5 linked regions of the Cricetulus griseus genome follow. The protein of the gene in region 1 interacts with the protein of each later gene in a pairwise test. Links are inferred from orthologs where the notes say so. Each region holds a gene or a part of one and is shown in the gene's direction. Other genes may lie near its edges.

Evidence for each region.
Region 2: the proteins of Ube2e3 (region 1) and Rnf167 interact in a two-hybrid assay, tested with the Homo sapiens proteins (2 studies listed by BioGRID and IntAct). The link is inferred for Cricetulus griseus from reciprocal best matches to the Homo sapiens genes UBE2E3 and RNF167.
Region 3: the proteins of Ube2e3 (region 1) and Rnf111 interact in a two-hybrid assay, tested with the Homo sapiens proteins (2 studies listed by BioGRID and IntAct). The link is inferred for Cricetulus griseus from reciprocal best matches to the Homo sapiens genes UBE2E3 and RNF111.
Region 4: the proteins of Ube2e3 (region 1) and Cnot4 interact in a two-hybrid assay, tested with the Homo sapiens proteins (3 studies listed by BioGRID and IntAct). The link is inferred for Cricetulus griseus from reciprocal best matches to the Homo sapiens genes UBE2E3 and CNOT4.
Region 5: the proteins of Ube2e3 (region 1) and Mul1 interact in a two-hybrid assay, tested with the Homo sapiens proteins (2 studies listed by BioGRID and IntAct). The link is inferred for Cricetulus griseus from reciprocal best matches to the Homo sapiens genes UBE2E3 and MUL1.

What each region holds. Positions count from the first base shown.
Region 1 is NC_048599.1:96,235,614-96,240,139, reverse strand, and holds part of Ube2e3 (ubiquitin-conjugating enzyme E2 E3), read left to right. Parts: intron 1-3,055; coding exon 3,056-3,188; intron 3,189-4,526. UniProt on the Homo sapiens protein: Accepts ubiquitin from the E1 complex and catalyzes its covalent attachment to other proteins. In vitro catalyzes 'Lys-11'- and 'Lys-48'-, as well as 'Lys-63'-linked polyubiquitination.
Region 2 is NC_048600.1:84,457,474-84,462,704, forward strand, and holds the start of Rnf167 (E3 ubiquitin-protein ligase RNF167), read left to right. Parts: upstream 1-1,969; 5' UTR 1,970-2,096; intron 2,097-2,233; 5' UTR 2,234-2,637; coding exon 2,638-2,721; intron 2,722-2,804; coding exon 2,805-2,961; intron 2,962-3,729; exon of another isoform or gene 3,730-3,806; coding exon of another isoform or gene 3,807-3,836; intron 3,837-3,918; coding exon 3,919-3,992; coding exon of another isoform or gene 3,993-4,044; intron 4,045-4,143; coding exon 4,144-4,231; intron 4,232-4,391; coding exon 4,392-4,482; intron 4,483-4,647; coding exon 4,648-4,753; intron 4,754-4,889; coding exon 4,890-4,983; intron 4,984-5,231. Other genes in the region: Slc25a11 (mitochondrial 2-oxoglutarate/malate carrier protein), read right to left, coding at 43-133, 216-306, 495-701, 792-944, 1,552-1,646.
Region 3 is NC_048597.1:182,022,499-182,027,024, reverse strand, and holds part of Rnf111 (E3 ubiquitin-protein ligase Arkadia), read left to right. Parts: intron 1-3,763; 5' UTR 3,764-3,782; coding exon 3,783-4,526. UniProt on the Homo sapiens protein: E3 ubiquitin-protein ligase. Required for mesoderm patterning during embryonic development. Acts as an enhancer of the transcriptional responses of the SMAD2/SMAD3 effectors, which are activated downstream of BMP.
Region 4 is NW_023276806.1:192,883,668-192,888,193, forward strand, and holds part of Cnot4 (CCR4-NOT transcription complex subunit 4), read left to right. Parts: intron 1-1,452; coding exon 1,453-1,702; intron 1,703-3,476; coding exon 3,477-3,974; intron 3,975-4,526. UniProt on the Homo sapiens protein: Has E3 ubiquitin ligase activity, promoting ubiquitination and degradation of target proteins. Involved in activation of the JAK/STAT pathway. Catalyzes ubiquitination of methylated RBM15.
Region 5 is NC_048595.1:14,920,192-14,925,152, reverse strand, and holds the start of Mul1 (mitochondrial ubiquitin ligase activator of NFKB 1), read left to right. Parts: upstream 1-1,594; 5' UTR 1,595-1,682; coding exon 1,683-1,802; intron 1,803-4,961. UniProt on the Homo sapiens protein: Exhibits weak E3 ubiquitin-protein ligase activity. E3 ubiquitin ligases accept ubiquitin from an E2 ubiquitin-conjugating enzyme in the form of a thioester and then directly transfer the ubiquitin to targeted substrates.

The sequences.
Region 1 (4,526 bases):
AACTATTAAGATAACTAAGTCTGGAGTTGAAGTGCCTTGTTGAAACTTGATTTTTATCATAGTGATATCAAGAACAAATAAAGCTGGAGGTGGTAGCACCTGATTATAATCCTACCACAAAGCCAACGCAAATTGCTGTGGGCTTGAGGCCACAAAACTTGGAAGGATGTTTTTCTATTAAAGGGAACAGTAATAAGATGAAAGCTGGAAGGTTTAGAGAAACAGTTTTGTTTTTTTGTTTTTGTTTTTCTTTTTAAATCACGTTTGGGGAAAATGGCATGGTTGGATTCTTGTGGATGATGTTCTCTGGGATGGAACTAAGACAGTGTACAGCAAAGTGGAAGTTTGTAGACTTCTGCCCTGTGGAAGGGACAGAAACAGAAAGAATGGAGATTAGTCAGGAAAGATACAGGAAATGTTTGGTCATTATCATCCCCCCCCCCTCCACTCAGCTGTGAGGCCTCAGTGGCAGGTCTTCTGCTAGCCTATAAAATGCTTTGAGTTAATGGACTCAGTCCTGAAGCTACCTTTTCCCATTCCTCTTGGTGGATTTGTCCCAGCCTCTCTCTAGTCCAAATGATGCCTTAATGAAAACAAAAATAGACTCCTTGGGCCAGGTGCTTCTGTCACACTTAATGTCCTGCTATCATAGGGTTAAATGAACCCCTTTTCATGTCGTATGAGAGAGAGGGAAAAAAAAAAGCAAACATAGGATCAAGAGTTTAGTTTCCCAGTGGGAATCTCAGCTCTTCTACCCCATAATGGAATTTAAGATGGATTCTTTCCCCCCTCCATCTTGATTTCCTCAAGGGTTGGTAGATTTATCCAAAGCATCATCTTTTCAGTCTGTAATTCTACAGTCCATTAAAATGCATTGACTTCAGCTTGACTTCTGTTCAGTCATCTATAATTTAAGTGTTCTGGGCAATTTGGTTATTTGGAAGTTGGGTCATGTGTATTTGGGTACTTATACAAGTAATATTTGCAAAGCCTGCCAGGAAAGCAGAAGTAGCCACAGTGAAATTAAAGACATGAATAGAAACATTTGAGACTATAGAATAGCTTTTGTTGAGATTTTTGTCTTCTGAAGTTTTCTAGTTTTTCGGTGTCAGTCTTGCAGAGTTAATAACATGTAGTTAAAATGATCCCCCTTTTAATATGGTTGCAGTACTGTTTCACACTTACTATTTAAATAGGACCTCCAGATCACTTCTAAATTGATGGGTAGTTTAAAAGAACAAAAGCATATGCATATTTACATGTATAAAGCCAAGATAATTTGTGGTGTAAAAACCTAGAGGAACATGGGTGGGAGACATGCCTCTGCCATTAAGAAAATATGATGCCTTTACAGAGGATCTGATTCCCAGCACCATATCAGGTGGCCCTAGACTCCAGAGGATCTGAAACTGTCTCCTAGACTCTGTGGGTACCTTTACTCATGTACACATGTCCTTCCTGTTCACACCACCCGCATATACACATGATTAAAGATATGGGTGAAAAAATAGAGGAAAATGGGAATTTGTAAGGTGTGTTTGAAGGATGTTTATAGGCATCATAGAGTTGCATTACTAACAACAAATTTAGTTTAGATTATATTGAACTGTTAGTTTTTATTCCATAAATGATACTGATGTTGAGCACAATGCATTATGTTAATGTGTTCAGCAGAATTCAAGTCTTGATTTCCTAACATTTCTCCTACAAGGACCCAAGGTTCCTGAAGCTAATTCGAGGACTGGAAGAGTAGAGCATCTTTTCATGCCAGAAAGGAAGAATGGACTCTAAAATGTTGCCAGCATGTTAGAAGCTGTTTTGTAGGCCCTCCCACCGGGCTAATATGGGATGATTCAAGCAGTAGTAAATTGTAAAGCATTGAAAAGATTTAGTAATTTAGGAGACCATATCAGTAACATAACATATAAACACATAGGGCAAGACGGGGCTCAAGACAGCTGTTAAATGTGGAGAAAGAACTGGAGTTGAAAAATCATCATTATGCCAATATCATAGTAAATTTCAGAGGACTCCAAATAAATATTAAATCTAGAGGAGAAATTTGAATGAAGAGTAGGCTATTTGCATGGTTGTAATCTGACCAAAGAATACATATCGGTTGCAGGGAAAGATAGTAACTAAGCAGTAGGAAATTTGGAAGGCGTCTTCTATGGCTGAAGTTTAACATCACCAGTGAGGAAAAGGACACCATATCATGTACTTCAAACTGTCATGACCCCCCCAAATAACATACCACTTATTTACTTCTCTGGTTAGGAGTGTATTGTTTGAGTCTCATTATGAGAGAACCACAGACAAACTCAAATGGTCTTGCATATTTATTTGTCAAATAAAAGAAAAATTAAGTAATGATAGGACCCATGTTAAAGGAAAGTTAAGGCATAGAGCTTAAATTGGTGTGGTGAGGTGCACATGGGGGATTATGCCTGCAATTAATAGCACTGCAAATAGGCAGGCAAGAGTATTGGAAGTTCTAGGCCAGCCTGGGGGTTACATAATAAAATCCCATCACAGAATAGATTAAAAGTATAAGACATAAGATTTTCTTGATCCCAATACCTTGTACCTGGGGGAGAATATTAAGTGTATTAGAGTTAGTTTACAGTTTTATCGTACAGATTCTAGATTACTGTGGATGACATAGTTACTGAAATTGTAACTGTTGATTTGTAAATTATTTTTTGGAAGAGCACACGTTAAGTGTTTACATGGAAAGGATAAATGTGTGTGTGTGTGTGTGTGTGTGTAGGGGTAGCAGGAGAAGGAGGGAGAAAAGGAGGCAAATAGCAAAAGTTATGAGGTGTTGGGTAAAGTTATATAGTAGTTGTGTTTTCATTGTAATTTCTGTTTATTTGGAATATTTCAAAATTTATGCATGTGTACTTGAGCACACTTATCTCATTGCTTTAGATTGCTTATTTAATTTAATTCTAATTTTGTATTCATCTTTAGGTGTTAACCTAAATTTTTATAGACATGTATACAGGTATTTATATAGGATGTATATTGACTTTTTTTTATTTCTTTTAAATAGTGCTGGCCCTAAAGGAGATAACATTTATGAATGGAGGTCAACTATACTTGGTCCACCAGGTTCTGTATATGAAGGTGGTGTTTTTTTTCTGGATATCACATTTTCTTCAGATTATCCATTTAAACCACCAAAGGTAAGAACCTAGATATACATTGATTAATTACCCTTCTCCCAAACCCAGGTATTCTAGAATTTACATGTATATTAATGTAATAATTTGCTTTCATTGTTGTTCATGAATTAATATGGAAACTCAGTTATTTTGAAACCAAAATGTTACAGACTTCTGGCTTTTTAAAAATAATTTTATATTCAAAATAGTTAATAGTAAATAAAACTACACATTGATTAAAACATAAATAGAAACTTATGTAAAACTCCCTCTATGAAATAAACCTTATTGATAGCTTTCAGAAATAGGTTAATAATAAGGATTTTGTCTTTATAGATAAGCAAAAACTAGAAAACTGACAAAAGGAAAAACTAATACTTAACACTCTCATTTTTTGCCTTCTGTGAGTGTAGTGTAAAATAGAGTGACAGGCTCACTTTTCCCTTCTTCTTAATTCATTTAACCTGAGTGTTCAGCTTGATAACAAACAGAAAACATGGTACTTACTTGAAGGGCTTTTTCCTCTGACTTCTCATTATAAAGTACTCAAGTAAAAAACCTGGAGCTTAGCCTTTGTAGCTGAGTTTATTAAAGAGGAATCCAGTGTGCCAGGGAGGTTTTCAGGACCATGGCCTCCAACTAGTAAAGTGCTCTGCACCTTTTTTTTCAATTGCATAAATTTTTTTTTTGATGTAATGCATTCCAGTTATGGTTTCCCCTCCCCCAACTCCTCCCAGATCTGTCCTCCTTCCCCATCAACCCAAATCGACCTTTTCTTTCTCTTTCTCCTTGGGACACAAACAGGCACCTAAAACAGTAAAATAAAATTAGATAAACAAATAAAAGAAAAAGCCAAGAAAGTCTCTGATTTTTATGGGATTTCTCTGTGTGAAATGCTTTTCTTTTTAAATCAACTCTTTAAATATATGTAATGATGTATGTATATATGTGTGTATCTTTATCTCATCTATGTGTGTGTCTGTCATCTGTCTATCGGATGTCTGTTTCTGTAAAGACTGGATTTTTAGAAAGTACATTTTCTGGAATGTATTCTCTAACATTTCAACAAAGTCCCACCTAGTGGTGTATACCTCCCTCTATACAGGTACCTTCCCTCCCTCCCTCCCTCCCTTCCTCCCTCCCTCTCTCTCCCTCCCGTCCTCCCTCCCTCATATACTATATCCCCATCACAGTTTCCCCACACTCTACTCCTCCCAGCCCCTCCTCTCTTCTCCTCCATATCCACTTCCTCTCCAGTTTCCTCTTCAGAAAAGAGAAGGCCCCCCAAGAGAAGACAGCCAAACAAGACAAAACAAGATGCAGTGAGAAAAGGTAAAAGCCCTCATATTGAGGCTGAAC
Region 2 (5,231 bases), on another chromosome or scaffold:
AGGCCAGACTGGGCATTGAGTATTTGGCGCTGGGTCTCTCACCTGAGTCTAGCAAGAACTGCTTGGATTGGGAGTAGGAGGCAAGCTGGGCAGCATTGACGACGACAGCTCGAGCCATGGTAGGGATACAGCCCTAGAGAGTGGAGACAACGAAGAGAGTCAAAAATGCCACAGACTTGATCCCCACGTCCCAAGACTTTGCCCCCTTTGCTCACCCGCCACAGTGTGGGGACTCCCTCTTCCCTGGCAATTCGGATTAGGGCATTAAACACGTTTTTGTAGCCTCGGCGCTGGTCAGCTGGAAGCCTGGGGAGAGGGCAGAAAAAAGCCAAGATCAGGCAGGCTCAGGGTCCATAGGAACAAAGACAGGGAGGCCTAAGCAGGTAAGTGCCCTGCCGTAGATCTCAGCTAACAAAAACAGGTAAAACCTAGCTAGATCTTTCACTCTAGATTCCAGGAATGGGGCTGGAGTCAAGCTCAGACCTGGAACTCACCGGCCATCAGCAGTCATCCTGATAAGAGCCACCTCAGCTGGCGTTCCCACAAATGCACCAGTTGCACCTGCAGTCATACCAATCAGGGCTTTCAGCAGAAAGCCAGGGGGTGTACCGTCAGCCCCAGTCAGGCGCTCAAACAACACGGTATAGATGCCAAGACGAGTGGTGGTGTAGGTAGCCTGGCGCAGTAGGCCAGCTGACAGCCTGAGGAACAGAAAGGTCAGCAAAGCCTATCGGGCCAAGGTCTGGACCTGCCAACCCACAACCTCGCTTCCCAACCGGAGGCCCCAGTACCCAGTGTAAATGCCCTTCAGTCCTTCTGCCTTCAGGATGCTGGTGAGGGCATGGAAGCTGGTTTTGTACTCTCGAGTCTTGGCCCCTTCACCACTCAACTGCATCCGGTTCTTCACCAAGTCCAGAGGCTGCACAAAAACTGTAGCACCCATCCTGGAGTAAGGCAGGAAAAGGAGACAGAGCTCAGCTGTTCCTGCTCTATTAGTGTCTACTGCAACCTGGCAGCCAGAAGTTACGAAGGTCAGGGCCTGACATGCAGCTAAGGATTCAGGAGGCTGGTGGGCATGTACATAAGTGTGTGAACGAAGGGGCGATGTGCCAGGCAAAAAAAAAAAAAAAAAGTCCAGTTGTCCAGTAAAGACCATGCAAATCAAAACACTTCAAACAGTTCCTTAGAGCTCAAATAGAATTAGATTACAGGCAGTCTGACTAAGGAGGGGTGGAGAGGACATCCATAACCTACGACTCCAAGCGGTCCTCTAACAACGCCTCTAATAACCTAGACCCACCACACAATCAGGCACGGTGAAGCAATGGTGGTGGAAACACGCGGGGCAATGACTCTTGAATGAAGCCAGCCCTGTAGGGGCCTGCGATGGGTGAATAATCCTGTCAGCCCACCAGGGAGGTCGCAATACTCTGGACATTATGGTGACCCCGCACCCGCTCCATTTACTGCAACATACCCCGAGATGCACTGGGCCCAGTTACTTGCGCCCGTCCCTTCCTCCTTTTTCCCATCCCTGGGGCCTGAGCTTACCCAGCCAGGCCCCCAAACAGGAACTTGACCGACTTAGGGGAGGTACGGGGCTTCCCGTCCATCCGGCCATCCCCGGGACTCGCCGTCGCCGCCATCGCCCCTTGATGGCCCTCGGCTTTGGGTCCCGTGCACGCACAGCCCCGCTCGCGCCCAAGGTGACACCAGCGCGCAACAGGGCGAAGGCGCGCGCGCGCACGCCCCTCCGACAGGCAAGTCTGGCTTGAGCTGGAAACTGGGGGGCGGACGGGGGGGGGGGGAGGACCGCAGGCGCCTAGCGCAAAGGAGGCCGGGAAGGAGGCGGGGCTAGTATGCGTAAGCGAAGGGGCGTGGCTGATCTAGGAAGCCTCTTTGTAGCCCCCGCCCTTCCCGAATTGGAATCGCGGGAAACTAGTGTTTGAAAATCTCGCGAGAACGAGTGAGACAGTCGAGTTAGGGCCGGCATCCTCTCTCTCGCGATAAATTTCAGCTTAGCGATGGGGTGGCGGTGGTGGTGGTAAGCACTCTCGCGATACTTGGAGGTACCGCAGCGAGCAGGAGGCAGAGAGGTTTGTAAACAGGGCAGCACCAAGATTTCGGGCGCTGAGGGGAAAAGAAAATTAGGTCGTCTCCTGGGCATCGGAGCTCCCTCCATCTGCGCAGGAACTCTCTCCGTGTCTAACATTTCTTTCAACCGGCCTTTTAGGACCGGAAGTCCTCCGTCCTGAGCGTCCAATACTGGAAGCGGCCTTTCTTTACCGGAAACCCTTTTCCAGGGGATCGGAAGACGGCCTACCTGGCCGGAAGTCCCACCTCTTTGAGATTTCCCCCACCCTTCCTGAAGTTTTTCTGTTACCTGTTTTTTGCCTTCGTTTCTATTCTCCGTTTTATTTCTGTAGTAGAGAAAGATACATTGTCTCCCTCCCAGCTCCACTAAGCTGGTTTCATACCGCACTTCCCGAGTCGGAGTTTTGCCCCGACGCCCCCATGTAGCTGAGAAAGTAGGACCTGGGGGTGGTTGGACCCCTGGGATCCTTAAGGAGGCAGAGAGGTCGCAGAACTCGGCTCCTATCAGGACGCGACCTCCTCAGCCTTACCCCTCCCGCTGCCATGCACCCTGCAGCCTTCCCGCTTCCTGTTGTTGTGGCTACTGTGCTGTGGGGAGCATCCCCTATCCGAGGCCTTATTCGAGCGGTGAGTCTAAGGGGCGGATGGGGCGGAGGGTGCCGAGAAGGGTTTCCAGGCCGAAGAGAAAAACGGACTAATTTTGTCTGCAGACCTCGGAGCACAATGCCAGCATGGACTTTGCAGACCTCCCAGCTCTATTTGGGGCTGCCCTGAGCGAGGAGGGACTCCAGGTGATGCTCTCCCCGTTTCCTTATAGTCTCTATCCTGGGCAGGGGTTGAGTAGCCGTGCTCTGGATCCAACTGGAGGTAGGAAGTAGTCGAGTTAGCAGCGGGATGCGTTGGGCTGTGGATAGAACTCAGTGATAGGGTGCTTTCCTAACACGAGTGAGACTGAATCACCAATACCAGCTCCCCGCCCAAAACCTAAGTATATGACCGTGTCCAATGTAGAGTTCAGAATCTAGAGGCAGAAGGCAGTGTCCGAGAACTCCCAAGTTTAAGAGGGACATTGGAGAGTGAATTAAGATAGGAAGCAGGTGCTTATCAGTAATGTCTCCAGAGCTGTTTACTGTTTGTATGAATGGCTGTGGATGGTATTTTGTTGACCCTTAGTAAAATGGGTAATGGAAATTAACTTAGAACTACTGTGTTAACTGGTAAGTTGAGTTAAGCATGTCTGTAATAGTTTATTACAAAGTTCTTGCCACATAGGAAGAACTCAGTTGGACCACGGATAGCAATAGTTGTTTCTAAAGTGAGGGTTATTGAAAGTGCTGTATGTACACAAAAAGACGAATCTGAAAAAAACTTGGTGAAAATGACATGGATGAGTAGCAAGCTGAATTATCAGGAAACTGGAAAAACAGAACTAAACTAAGAATTTGAGAAGTCGAGAGAGCCTCTGGTAAAGAGGTGATATGTTCTGTAATTGCATCTTCGGGAAGCCAAGAGATTAGATTCTGCTTTGTTTGGTTTTATAGATAGGTTTCTCTGTGTAACCCTGGCTGTCCTGAACTGTGTATACCAGGCTGTCCTCCAACTCAAAACACCTGCCTGCCTAACTCTACTTTCCAGGTGCTGGAATTAAATGCATGTATCACCATGCCGGCCTGAGATGTAGATTCTGATTCAGGTGGGATGCTTAGACCTCAATGAGGGTAGAGCTACAGAATACAGATGGTGTATGTATCACTATATTCGATAGGCCCTGTGGGAGGCAGAATGTAAAGATGGAAAATCCAACTGTTTGCTTTTATTCCTCAGGGGTTCCTTGTGGAGGCCCATCCAGAAAATGCCTGCAGTCCCATTGCCCCACCACCCTCAGCTCCGGTCAATGGGTCAGTCTTTATTGCACTGCTTCGAAGATTCGACTGCAACTTTGACCTCAAGGTTGCTAAATGTGGAATGGGAGCTGGTAAACATGGTAAATGACACTGGAAGCAAAGAAAGGCAAAGTTTATGACTGTTGTCCGTGCTTTGTCTTCTTAGGTCTTAAATGCTCAAAAAGCTGGGTATGGTGCAGCTGTGGTTCACAATGTGCATTCCAATGAGCTTCTGAACATGGTGTGGAATAGTGGTGAGTAAGGCTGGGGAAACTGCACCGATGGACTTTCAGTAGGAGGACTAAAGGATCAAAAGAGGCCTTTGGGTTCTTTGGGTGGGATGGGCAAAGTGTCAGATGCCAGTTCCAGGGAACTGAGTGGAAGGCTAAATCCCCACTATCCTGCTCCCTACAGAGGAAATCCAACAGCAGATCTGGATCCCATCTGTATTTATTGGAGAGAGAAGTGCAGAGTACCTACGAGCCCTTTTTGTCTATGAGAAGGGGTAGGACATAATGCTTTCTTCTTCCTCTTCTCCCACTCTTCCCCAAGCCTCACTACCCTACCCACTCACACTCAGGCTCTTCCTTTCTCTTCACCAACGCCTTGTCCCAATCCAGTTACCTGGTTTTGCCTGGTTCCTGGCTTGAGACTTGTCTTTCTTTCTTAGGGCCCGGGTGCTTCTGGTTCCAGACAATAGTTTCCCCTTGGGCTATTATCTCATTCCTTTCACTGGCATAGTAGGACTGCTGGTTTTGGCCATGGGAGCTGTACTGGTAAGTAGCAGTGGGAAGAAATTACAAGGCCAGACTGTGTCTGGAGAGGGTTAGTGAGGTGGTTATTGGATTTTCCAGTGTTTTCTTTTCTTTTTCTTTTTCAACTTAAGCCTGGTCCACTCTCCCTTACTCCTAGGTAGTTCGTTGTATCCAGCACCGCAAACGGCTCCAGCGGAACCGACTTACCAAAGAACAACTGAAACAGATTCCTACCCATGAGTATCAAAAGGGTAAGGACACAGGAACAGGGCCCATCTTAAAAGGTGTTTTGAGCCCAGTAGATAAGGGTTTGTATGAAGAGCAGTGGGAGAGGCCAGGCGTTGGTGGCACACACTTTTAATCCCAGCACTTGGGAGGCCAGAGACAGGAGGCAGGCGGATCTCTGTTCGAGGCCAGCCTGGACTATAGAGTGAGTTCCGGGGCAGCCTCAAAAAAAGAAAAAAAAAAAAAAAAAAAAGCAGTGAGGTGTTGGAAGATG
Region 3 (4,526 bases), on another chromosome or scaffold:
TGTTATTTATGGGGTCCACAATTATCCGGTGCCTAAGGGCCTTCATAATTTTCTTTGGAGTTTTCACTGTTTGAGATCCAATGTTGCTGGTTTCCACATAGTCACAGAGTTGAAGAAAAAGCTCATTGAGATTCAGGGTTGGTGGTTTCTGTAGAGTCACAGAGTTGAACAGCTAACACCATGGGCATTTTGAGACACAGAAGCCCTGTTTCTCACAATCTTAATTCTTAGATCATCTGCAGCCTAATTTAAATTTTACCTGTATAGTCTTTGTAATTTTAAAAAGCTACTTAATTTTTTATGTATATGAGTACTTAGCATGTGTGTATGTGTGTCGAATATGTGTCTAGTGCCCACAGAGACAGTCTCAAACCCACAGAGATTTGCCTGCCTTTGTCTTCAAGTGCTGGGACTCAAGGCATGGCTGGTTTCAGTATCCTTACATCTTTTCTAACATGAGTTTGTACCTGTTACTGTAACCAATGTCATCTACTCCTTCCCTCTTGCTAACACTTGCTTAAGCCTCATTATTTTGAGGTGTTCTTTCTTGCACTTTGTTGCAATGGTCTTGATCTGACTAGCAACTGTAAATTTGTTGCTTGCTGTGCTCCCCCCTCCCTTCACTCATTGTGCTATACTCTAGGTAGGATTTAATGACTGAGCTTGCAAACATCATTGCCTGCCCTTGTAAGAATCTTATAAGAAAAGAAAGAATCTAGAGGCCAGCCTGCACTACAGGGTGAGTTCCAGGACAGCCAAGGCTGTTACACAGAAAAAAGAAAGAAAAGGATTGAATGGCATTCTCTAGGGAAAGGTCATTGTAATCTTACTTTCATGAGGTCTGTTCTGATAATAGAGCTGTGAAATAGAGCACAAAACCTATGCAATTATGCATTTACGTATCTGTTATTTATGGAAACCCTTGACATAAAATACCTGTTTTATTTGGTGGTGGCACACACCTTCAATCCCAGCAGTTGGAGGCAGAGACAGGGTGATCTCTGAGTTGTAGGCTAGTCTGGTTTACAGAGGGAGATCCAGGACAGACAGAATTACACAGAGAAGCCCTGTCTCAAACAAACAAATGGTTTGAAAATGTCTGTTAGTGTAGAAACAGTTCTATCATTTTGGAAGTTAGGAAGTGGTCACAATTGTTGATGGATGGAAGTGATGAACTTGGAAGCTGAGGGAGGAGATGCCCTTGATCCTGGCAGTTGGAGACAGTCTGAGCAAGGTACTGGTTTCTAAAGCATACAAACCAGACTGTTTCTAAAGCATACAAACCGTGTTTACGCCTGCTTAGATTCTCATACTGCTCTAACACAGTGCTTCACTTGTCAGACTAACTACTTTTCTAGCGAGTGTTCCATCTTGAGTGATGTTCACAATTTTACATGGTCATCCTTCTTTTATGTACAAAATTACACTGTGAGCCAGAAAGAAAGCTCAGGTGCTTGACATCCAGGCCGGGGCACCCAAGTTTGATCTCTGAAGAGAACCAGCTCCACAAAGTTGTCTTGTGGACTTCATATTTACACCGTGGCACAAGTGCCACACACATGCATCAAGGAATAATAAAAAATTTAAAAATTGTGTTGGTGTTGATGCAGTAAATTAAGTTCCTTTGTTCAACAGCTCAGTTTCAGAGGTGAGATGATCTAAGCACACTTAGACCAGTTGTGGGAAGTTTTATTTTCTGCTGTGCTGCTGATTTAACAGTTATCTTCAGAATCTTGGTCCTTGCTCTAGGCTTGCTGTACTGACACTAAATTTACTAGTTGTGTCAAACTTCTGTTGGAATTAGGGTCTCATTAGATAAATGGAGTCATAGGAGAAAGAAGCTGTATTTCTACTAGCTAATTATTTAATGTAAAAACCATCTAAATGTACAGGAAGTATTTATTAAACAATTTTAGCATGTTAATATCAAAGGGAAGACATGAACTTTTCTGAAGATAAATGAACAAATGTCTACTCACCCCAAATAGCATCAACAATAGAAACATCCAGTTAAGCTGTGGCTTGGTTGAACCAATGTTTAACTGGGGTTTCTTAGGGGAGCTGTTGCAGTGACTACACTGCAATAGCAATCTGTCTTCCTGCACCAGCTTTCCTGTCAGTTCTTGGGGAAAGATGTGGCCTTATAAGCCCCCTCCTCTTAGCAACTGCTAATAGCTCGCAGATCACTGGTGGGGTGACTCACAACCTCTGCTTTAACAGTGGTTATCTGAAAACTCTTGGGAAGAGGTGGGCCTCATGAACCCTTTCCTTTGAGGGAAAGTTCATGGCCCAATCTTGTACAGTCTGCTGGCACTCAGATCTGCTGACAGTTGAAGAGGGCAATGACCATGTTATGCCCTGAAGGCAGTATTCAACAACACATGTCTTTGGAATTCTTTTTTTTAGTCGGGGGAGGGGTGCAGGGCTGGAGGAATCTCTTGAGATAGAGTCTTGTTGTGACTGGCTTTGCATTCGTCATTGTAGTACTCCCCGCTTCAGCCTCCAAAGTGTTGTGGTTTGATGACTTTATTGTGTTTTTTCTTATAATTTAAATTACATTAAAATTTTAGGTTTTTACTAGCCTTATGGGTACATTTTTATTCATGTACATGTATTGATTGTATTCACCTCTAATTCCCCTCTCATGTCTTTCTTATTCCACACCACTCCCATTGACCTCTTTCCTCTTTGCAAGTCATCTCTCTTCTGTTTTTACATCTTTGTTGGTGGTGATGGTGAACTTCCAATAGTGTTTCTAATAGGAATATGAGTAAGGGATTATAAATGCCTCCACCTCCCCCAGCATCCATTGGCTGCCTATAAATCCTGAGGACTGTAGCCTTCCTAAAGTTTGTTTTAAATGATACACAAGAGCTTAAACATTGTACATATTTTTCAGTACTTTGTGTTTTGATAAGTTTGTACATAGTGTAATGTTGCAGTCAGGTTAATAAATGTGCATTCACAGACATCTTTCTCTAGGTTATAGCTTTCAAAATCTTCTCCAGGTGTTTGAAATGTGCAATATAGTATCACCTGGAATTACATTATTACACACTGTTACCAAAACTTGTTCTTTGTATATAACTAACTAGTACTTGTTGACCAGCCATCCCTTATCTCACCTCTCCACTCCATTCTCCAGCCTCTGGTAACCTTCATTCTGCTCTCAGCTTTTGTGAATTAGTTTTGTCAATCCCACATGTGAGTAAGGTCTTGTGGAACTTGCTTTTCAGCCTGCCTTATTTCACTCAGGGTAATGGTTTATAATTCTGTCCAGGTTATTACAGATGAAAGGATTTCATTTTTTTTTTTAATGGGTGAATGGCATTCTATCATGTATCTACTACATTTTTTTCATCCATCCTTTGGCTGTTGTGGTTAATACTGCAGTGCACATGGGGTGCTGTATGATTTCAGCAGACTGGTTTCCTTTGACTGCAGAAGGCAGTCTTTTGAATTCTAATTCTCTTCTTTAGTTTAATGAAGTAAACTTAAAGGAAGTGTTTGGCTTTGACCAAATACGCTATATTGTGGAAGCTAGCAGGAATATTGCCAGGTCCTTTTGGTTACTGTAAGTTCCAGTACTATGTGCTAGTTGACTGTGTTTCTGAAAGTAGGGTAGAAGCAGAGGTACTAGAGTGTTCGATGAGAAAGTCAAGAGGCTGGCTTAGCTTAGTCATGTTACGGCTGCTGCAGGCTTTAGTCACTTGTGTAGCACAGATGTACTGAGTCTTTTCAATGTCTGCCTTGTGTCTCCTAGGCCTTCCTTAAAGTTTCCCATGTCTCAATGGACTCCTGAATATAACGAGCTCTACACCCTAAAAGTGGCTATGAAGAGTGGGACTCCTCCTGATGCGCCCACAACACAGGAGAGTCTGAAGGGGGTCCTTCTGCACCCACAGCCCCTCGGGGCCACCAAGAGCTTCCCTGCAGAAGTGGAGATGATTAACAGCAAAGTGGGGAATGAATTCTCTCACCTGTGTGATGATTCAAAACAAGAGAAGGACATGAATGGCAACCAGCAAGAACAAGAAAAAAGTGGGGTTGTGAGGAAAAAGCGCAAAAGCCAACAGGCTGGCCCCTCATATGTACAGAATTGTGTCAAAGAAAATCAGGGAATCCTAGGGCTGAGGCAACATCTAGAGACACCAAGTGATGAAGAGAATGACTCTTCCTTCAGTGAGTGTCTGTCTTCTCCCTCATCTAGTCTCCATTTTGGGGACTCTGATACTGTGACTTCAGATGAGGACAAAGAAGTCTCAGTGAGACATTCCCAGCCTGTTCTGAGTGCTAAAAGCAGAAGTCACAGTTCACGGTCCCAAAAGTGGCCTCGGACTGAGGCAGAGTCTGTGTCAGGCTTGTTGATGAAAAGACCTTGTTTTCATGGTAGTGCACTGAGGAGACTTGCATGCAGAAAGAGATTAGTGAAGAACAGCTCCTCCCAGAGGACACAGAAGCAGAAGGAGAGGCTGCTGGTACAGAGGAAGAAGCGGGAGGTGTTGGCCCAGAGGAAGTATGCGCTC
Region 4 (4,526 bases), on another chromosome or scaffold:
TGAATCTGTACCCCAGGAACTCGCATAAAAGCTGAGCACAGTAGCATATATCTATAAACCCAGCATTGGTAGGGTAGGGACAGGAGGATTCAGCACAACTGCCTTAGGTGATCTCCAAGTTTAGTAAGAGACATCTCAAAAACTAAAGTGGAGCATGTATAGGAAGATACCAAGTACAGATTTCTGGCTTTTGTATGAACTTATACACGTGTACACTTACTTATAAAAATACACACAGCGCGTACACACACACACACACACACACACACACACAGAAAACCCCTAAATACGCTTATAAATCTGAACTGAAATGTTTTTCTATGGCGAGGGATTTTTTTTTTTTTTTTTAAAGATTTTTATTATGTATACAACATTCTGCTTCCATGTATATCTGCACACCAGAAGAGGGCACCAGATCTCATAGTGGATGGTTATGAGCCACCATGTGGTTGTTGGGAATTGAACTCAGGACCTCTGGAAGAGCAGTCGGTGCTCTTAACCTCTGAGCCATCTCTCCAGCCCCGACAAGGGAATTTTTGTTTGTTTGTTTGTTTGTTTGTTTGTTTGTGTATTTTGGTGTTGGTGCTGGCAAATGAATCTATGGCCTTACCCATACTCAGCAATGGTACACTTATATTCCCAGCTCTATGAGAAGGATTTCAAAGCCTTTTCCCCCATGTTGACTTTCTATTAATAGTATTGAGTTGATCAAACAGCATATATTGGGGTCATCTCAGAATATTTGTGTATGAACATTGGTAATATTAAATAAACTTGCATTAATCTTACTCATTCTTTTTATTTTCCCAAGACATTTTGTATAAATAGTGCACAGATAGAGGAGGAGAGGAATGTTACTGTCCCTCAGACCATGGAATTAAAAGCCTCAGAATCACAGAATGATTTAGCCTCCCAATAGGCATGGGGTTTTCTTTTTTCCTTTTTGTTTGATTAGTTGTTATTTGTTGTTGTGTTTTTGCTTTTGATGCTGGGGGTTTGATCACAGGGTCTTTTTCGTGCTATACTCCCAGCCTCCAGAATTATTAATGAATGATTGAGAAAAACTTAGATCTTCCTTTATTTTGGTTAAAAACTAAAATACTTGGAATCTTCTAATATGCAAAAGGATGCTGTAATTGGAGCCAGTTATTGACTTGCTATCAGTTTGAGCATTTCTGATCATTTATCTTTGCCCCTAAAAGTTGAGCAGTTGCTACATAATGAATTCCTAGACAGCAAGGGAGTTTGGGGAGTTGTAAAAGATGAGAACACTATTTTTTTTAAGTACATGTATAAATTAATGAATTGCTTGTTTTTTTCAAATTCCACACTTTGATTAAAAAGTCAGGTGTTCTGGTTTGAAGACCACTGTTAGAAACCTTTTTTGCAAATGTTTTCAATTGTGGTTTATTAGGATACAAATTTATCTTGACTTCTTCCTCTTTCTTTTAGATATCTAACAGTGATACGCCTTCACCACCACCTGGTTTATCAAAGTCCAATCCTGTCATCCCCATCAGTTCATCCAATCACAGTGCAAGGTCTCCTTTTGAAGGGGCAGTAACAGAGTCACAGTCATTATTCTCAGACAATTTTCGACACCCCAACCCTATACCAAGTGGGCTTCCTCCTTTTCCCAGCTCTCCACAGACACCCAGTGATTGGCCTACAGCTCCAGAACCACAGAGCCTCTTCACGTCAGGTATGTAATTACCTAGTATTAGTAATCAGACTCATAAATTGACAGACTAATGGAATACATTTTGGTTGATATACTTCTATCTTGTTTTCTGTCGGGTCCACTTTTTAAAAACTATAACTTTTAAACTACATGGTATTCGATATTATGAAAGTTGTGTTGCCTAGAAATTATAGTGTTGGAGAGCAGATTTATCTAGAAATCATTTATTATATTTTCTCAAAAACTCACTACTCTGGCTGGGTATAGTGGCACACACCTTTAATCCTAGCAGAGGCAGGCTGGATCTCTTGAGTGTTAGGCCAGTCAGGGCTACATAGAAAAACCCTGTCTTAAAACCCAAAGGGGGGGAAAAAACCAAAAAAGTTACTGCTCTGGGAGTAACTTAGGACTCAACTTTTTAAGTCAGATTTGTGTTGATGTAATCAAATTTAAGATCTTCCCCTAATTGTCTAATTGGCATAAGTAATTTACGTAGTTGTAAAAACTAAATTTTGTCCCCTCTCTGCCATCCTATTTTTAAAATTTTTGGCATGGTTTATATTTGTATAAGAGTTTTGCTTTTACCATTTTGGAAATTATGGTTTTTTTTCCCTCCATTTTGTTTTTTTTATTTAAGTTAGAAACAAGATTGTTTTATGTGTCAATCCCAGTTCCCTCTCCCTCCCCTCCTCCTCTGCCCCCCACTAACACCCTACCTATCCCATACCATTTCTGCTCCCCAGGGATAGTGAGGCCTTCCATGGAACTGATCCAGACCCCATGAATGTGGGTGTCAGTGAGGAGACCTTGGAAATTTATGGGGCCCCTTGTAGTAGATCAAGGATAGCATAGGAATGGACTTTGGGAGCCCATTTCACATAGAGGCATACTCCATCAGCCTAGACACACAGGGGTGAGCCTAGGCCCTATCCCAAAGGACATGACAGACTCTGGAAATTATGTTTTAACTGATATCCACAGCACAATGCCAGCCACCTGCTGGAACTTTGGTTCCATCACATTCAGATGAAACTAGCCTGAAGAATGGTTTATGTTCTCTTCCCTGAAGAAGCATGGCTTTACATCTTTGTCTTGATGGTTTCAGAGGTGTCAGGTGTGAATGGACAAGCAGAGAGTTTTTAATTAGAAAGCAGAGAGCACACCACTTATCTTTTTACTCATTTAAATATTTTTATCCATCTGAAAGATGGCATAAATTAATAGCCACAATGACGCCTGTGATGTAGATTAAAAACATAATCTTAGCATACAATAGAAGAGTTAGCCTTACTAGTTAAAGTCTTTTAGACTGTAGCACTTTTAATAGCATGCTAGTTTTTAATTATGAATGTTTGTGTAACCTGGATAACAGGGGAGGTTTTCCTTCTGATCAGCACAACCAGTCTATATCATTAAGGTTTATTTTTTTTTTTAAGATTTATTTATTTTATGTGTATGAATGCATGTATGACTTTATGCCAGAAGAGGGCATCAGATTCCTCTATAGATGGTTGTGAAGCAACCATGTGGTTGCTGGGAATTGGACTCTTAACCTCCAGAACAGCCAGTACTCTTAACCACTGAGCCATCTCTCCAGGCCCTATCATTCAGTTTTTGAACTTAATTTAGCAGTGAAATCACTGCTAGAAATTATGAGTTCCTTTGGAATCTTGCATGTTTGCTTTCTATTATAATGTGGCATGTGTAACTTAACACTGGTATAGACTGTAATGTAGGATGTTTAATATACACTGTGAAGATAGACTATGTTCATCACTATATTTCTTCCCAACAGAAACAATCCCAGTATCATCATCTACAGACTGGCAAGCAGCGTTTGGTTTTGGCTCTTCTAAACAGCCAGAGGATGACTTGGGTTTTGATCCCTTTGATGTCACTCGAAAAGCCTTAGCAGACCTGATTGAGAAGGAACTGTCCGTCCAAGATCAACCTTCCCTTTCTCCCACGTCTCTTCAGAACTCCTCCTCACACACTACAACAGCCAAAGGTCCAGGCTCTGGATTCCTGCATTCTGCTGCACCTACAAATGCCAACTCTCTTAATAGTACCTTTTCAGTCTTGCCACAGAGGTTCCCTCAATTTCAGCAGCACCGAGCAGTTTATAATTCGTTCGGTTTTCCAGGCCAGGCAGCCCGCTATCCTTGGATGGCCTTTCCACGCAATAGCATCATGCACTTGAACCACACAGCAAACCCCACCTCAAATAGTAATTTCTTGGACTTGAATCTCCCGCCACAGCACAACACAGGTCTGGGAGGGATCCCCATAGCAGGTAGGTTCATTTAAAGCCTCCGAGAATATGTATGTATTCATGACTTCAGGTTGCTGGGTGGTTAGGGAAGAGCTGCTGGGTAACAAGAGTATATAATAGTCTTAGAAATTTCTACGAAAAACCTTACATCTTTAACCTTTTTGTTTGTTTGTTTGTTTTTTGATTGAGTGAATGCCTTGTAATATGGAGCTTTATAAGGATGGTGGAGTATTATATCTACTTATTGTTTGGAAGCATTGTATTTAATAGGATAGTTACTAGACCTTTAGATGATATGTAAACACAAAAAAAAGAAAAACAAAAATTGGGCTCTGAAATTATAGTGTTTTAAAGGCCAACACCATAGTAAAAATATCTTGTGTTATAGTCTAAAGTGGTTAAATTTTTTTAAAATCAAAATTAATGAGAGCATGAGGGATAAAGCCACTATAACTGCTATCGAAATTGCTTGTTTTGACTGATACATACATGCACACATCAAAACTGCCATATGTGTATACAAAAATATTTGACAACTTAAATTATCAATGTTTTATAAGCATATTATATGTC
Region 5 (4,961 bases), on another chromosome or scaffold:
AGGCAGGTGGATCTCTGTGAGTTTGAGACCAGCCTGGTCTCCAGAGCGAGTGCCAGGATAGGCTCTAAAGCTACACAGAGAAACTCGAAAAACCAACCAACCAACCAAACAAACAAACAAACAAAAAACTCCAAGGATTAAATATTGTTTTGGGGCAATAGATATATCCTTCCATTCTGAAGAATTCAAAGTACAACATGTAGGACGCTCAGAGAACACAGGCTTTGCAGGCAGATATACTGGTGAAGATTTGGGGGTCTCTGATTGTTTCAGGAAGCAGATGCCTGAGTAGGAAAGATCCTTGATGGGTCAACTGGTTTCGAAGCCCCTGTCACTTTTAGGTAGAGATCTGAGCCTATTTTCTTTTTTTTTTTTTTTTTTTTTTTTTTTTTTTTTTTTTTTTTTTTTTTTCGAGACAGGGTTTCTCTGTGGTTTTGGAGGCTGCCCTGGAACTAGCTCTTGTAGACCAGGCTGGTCTCGAACTCACAGAGATCCGCCTGCCTCTGCCTCCCGAGTGCTGGGATTAAAGGCGTGCGGCACCAACCGCCCGGCCTGAGCCTATTTCTTAACCTGAGCCTCAGTTTCCTCTCCTGAAACCTGCACTATGACAGTGTTGTGTTGGCCTGGAGGAGCTAGGATGGACCTTGGTGGAAGAGCACCTGTGGCCCCGGGTTTGGTCCCTAAGGTCACGGGTGGAATGCAAACCTAGGAAACGTAATCACAGCACATAGCACATAGTAGTCATTCAATAAACGCGGCTGCAGTTCTTACTAAATAAACAGTATGCTGTTTTATGTGGCGGTGTTAGATGAGGAGCTGCTTTAGTGATTCAGCTGGAGTAGAGGCGAGGGCTTTGCAGCTAGTCTAATTGCTCTCCAGATCTCCTCAGCGATATATACGGCTCTGACCATGTTCCCCATCCCCTCTGGCCGCAGTTTCCTCATCTTTAAAGAGGACGGAGTATGCGGGGCGTTGGTGGCGCACGCCTTTAATCCCGGCACTGGGGAGGCAGGGGCAGGCGGATCTCTGTGAGTTCGAGACCAGTCTGGTCTACAGAGTTCCAAAGCTACACAGAGAAACCCTGTCTCGAACCCCGCCCCCCCCCCCCCGCCACACACACACAAAGGAACGGAGCATAACGCAGATTCACCCGATTGCTTAAACGAGTAACACTCCTTAGTCCTTAACATGCATCTGATGACGGCGACATCAGATAACCCAGCAAGGGCTGGAGAAATGGCTCGGTGGGTTTAGGCGCTTGCCGCTATGGCTGAAGACCTGAGTTCGATCCCGAGTACCCACAAGGTTGAAGGAGAGACCTGACTCTCACAGGGCATCCCGCTCTCCACACACGCACTGTGGTACGATCTCACAACACTTCCAGGATAAATGAAAAGCAATTTAGAAATAACCCAGCCAGAAAGTCTAGAAGCCCGTGACCACGGCCAGTGCGCGGAACCGTGAGGTGCCCCGGAAAGCCGACCGCTTTCCCACGAGGCCGCAACAACATCGCAATCACCTCGGCAACGTCGCCTTCCGGTCCCCGCTGCTGGGTCGCCACTTCCGGTGTCGCTTTCGTCATCAACAGGCGCCGCGTCTACGCGTTCCTATAAGAGTTTCCCGGCTGCGCAGGGGTCGCTCGTGGTTTCCAGGCTGCTGGCTCGGCTCGGCTCGGCGTCGCCATGGAGGGCGGATCGCTGCCGTCGTTGGGCCAGTTCATCCTGCTGGGAACCAGCTCGATGATCACCGCCGTGCTGTACTCCATCTATCGGCAGAAGGCCCAGGTCGCCCAGGAGCTCAAGGTCAGTGCGGAAGCCGGCTTGGCCTCTCCGGCCCCTCGCGCCGAGCGGAACCCGGGACCCACAGGGCCCCAGAGGACGCGCGGCCGCGAGGGGACCCCGGGCACCCGCTGCGGAGAGGCTGCCCAGCTCCGAAGTCCCTGGAGTTACTTTGAATGCCACCCATTTGTTCTAAAACTATTTCTCGAAAAACTGCTGTGCACCAGATAGCGAGAGGAACGGAGGTCGTTGTCGCCGTAGGCGCTCCTTTCTAGGACGACGAGACATCGACATGTAATGGGACGGTGTGATAGCGTGAGAAGTGGGTTGGAGTAAGGCGGAGGAAAGTGGAAAGATGGGGAAACGCAGAGTTTCGATTGTCTCTTTTGCCATAGTAAAATACTCCTGACAAAAAGCAACTTAGGGGAGAAAGGGTTAATTAGGCTTTCAATCCTAGGTTACCATCCATCGTCGCGGGGAAGCCCAGGCAGGAACTTGAGGCAGCTGTCAAGTTACATTTGAGTCAAGAGCAAAGAAAAACAAATGCATTCATGTGTAGTGCTCAGCTGATTTCTTTACTGTTATACAGTCCAGAGCCCAAACCTAGGGGATGGTGTCACCCACAGCACAACAGCCAAGTTGTGTTCACTGTTCAATTAGAGCAGTAAAGACCACTTTTTTGTTGTTTTGTTTTTGTATTGTTTTGTTTTTCGAGACAGGGTCTCACTGTGTAATCCTGGCTGTCCTGGAACTCAATCTGTAGACCAGGTGGGCCTCAAACTCAGAGATCCGCCTGCTTCTGCCTCCAGAGCGCTGGGATTAAAGGCGTGCACCACCACCACCACCACCACCACCACCACCACCACCACCACCCCCAACTCAAGACCACACCCACAGGCCAACTCAATCTAGATATCCCCTTACTTTGTTTTTTGTTTGTGTGTTTGTTTTCGAGACAGGGTTTCTCTGTAATTTTGGAGACTGACCTGGAACTCTCTTTGTAGACCAGGCTGGTCTCTAAGTCACAGAGATCCTCACAGAGATCCGACTGCCTCTGCCTCTCAAGTGCTGGGATTAAAGGCGTGCATCACCACCACCACCACCACCACCACCACCACCACCACCACCACCCAGCTCAGATAGCCCCTTACTGAGACACTCTTTAATTGTCTAGCTGACAATTAAAATTAACCGTCACAGGGGCATTGCCTCTTTAAGCAAGGTGATGTTTTAGGTGGAGATGGATTAGTGCAGCTATGTTAGGGAGGTGTGGCTCCGGCCTGGAGAGTAGCTAACTTAGAAGCTTATTGTTAACCACTCAGCTCCTTGCTTCTACCAACTGTTTCTTTTTATATTGTAGTTGCTTTAAAAGTACACTCTCATTTGAACTGCACTTAACACTTCACACAGCATCTTTCCATCTTGGTTTTCCGATTTTTTTTTTCAGCACAGTAATTTCTGAGATTGACAGTGGGGTTCCCTGATTGCAAACCCAGATATTTGAGATTCAAAGGAAGAGTCACATAGCTAGCATTAACTGTCAACTTGACAGGATCTGAAATCACCCAGGAGGCAAACCTCTGGGTGCACTTCTGAGGGACTATCTTGATTAGTTCACTTGGTGGCAAGATTTGCCCTATAAAAGGGCAGCGCCATGGCCTAGGCTTGGGTTCTTGGTGCAAAAAAAGAGAAAATGAGCAGGACACTGGCATTCATTGCTGTTTCCTGTTTTGGATGTCACGTGACCAGCCTCTTTCAGCCCCCTTTACCTTCCTGCCTTGGTTAGGATTATCATCGCTGTGATGAAACACTTTTGGGAAGGGAAGGGTTTATTCTGCTTCCACATCACTGTTGATCACTGAAGGGAGTCAGGACAGGAACTCAAACAGGGCAGGAACCTGGAGTCAAGGAGCTGATACAGAGGCCATGGAGGGGGCTGCTTACTGGCTTGTTCCTCTTTTGTTGCTCAGCCTGCTTTCTTAAGGAACCCAGGACCACCAGCCCAGGGCTAGCACCACTCACTGTGGGCTGGGCGCTCCCCCATCAATCTCTAATTAAGCTGGATCTTATGAAGGAAGTTTTTCAATTGGGGTTCCCTCCTTTCAAATAACTCCAGCTTGTGTCGGGTTAACATAAAACTAGCCAGGATACTTCCCCAGCATGACTGAGTGTATCCTTGACCTGTGAACCCAAATAAGCCTTTCTCCTTTACTTTGTTTTTCTCCCAGTATTTTATCACAGCGAGAGGAATGCAACCAAGACAGCTTGGAACTTAAAACATAGGTCTTTGAGTTCAAGGGTAGTATAATCAGCTAGGCAGGAGCGAGGATTTCTATTGTATCCTTCCCTTTGACTATCAGATTATTGAGACAGTGGACTCCGAGAAATTGGAATTCCCCCAGGAAGTCATGCTGCTGGGAGAGGGAAAAGCCGAGGGCATGGGGAGGGTCAGAGAAGGAATCTGTCAAGATAACCTTTGTAGGAGGGGGAGGCTGAGCAGGTGGTGCTAGGCAGGACCATACTCTAACCTGACCGCTCACTTAGACCATTTAAACCTTACTTCCCACTGGAGAAGTGACTTGATGGTTAGGAGTACTGGTTGCCCTTGTAGAGCCTGAGTTGATTGTCAGCACCGCAAGACAGCTCACCCATCATCTGTAACTCCAGTCCCAGGGGATCTCTTGACCTCTGTGAGTACCAGGCATGTATGTGGTGCAAGACAAACATTCAGGCAAAACACCCATATACATAAAAATTAATAAATAAGGTAAAACTTTGAAAAACTCTTACTTTCCTGTTAAGACCCAAAGAGTGACTTGGGGTAGAGCCACTGGGTATCTTTGCCTTCGCCTTCTCATTGTGGCTACATTGGATAAATGTCTGTTTTCTGTTTTTTACTGTTAGCTTTTTTAGTTGATGCATTGAGGACAGGTGGCTGAGCCTGGCTCTTTTTGGATGCAAGGCACAGCTCTGACCCTAACTCCAGAGCACTGGGCTTTTCTCTTCCTTCTTTCTTGGTTGACAGCCTTGCTTTGTTGCAGCTGTCACAGCTGTCAAGCTGATCTAGAGAGCTGGACTTTTGACTGTCAGGGGAAGGTCTTTCATCCTATCTAGATTTCTTAACTCAGTGTTTGACAAGTAGTAGATGCTCAGTACATGCTAATGGTTTTATTTTGGTCAAAA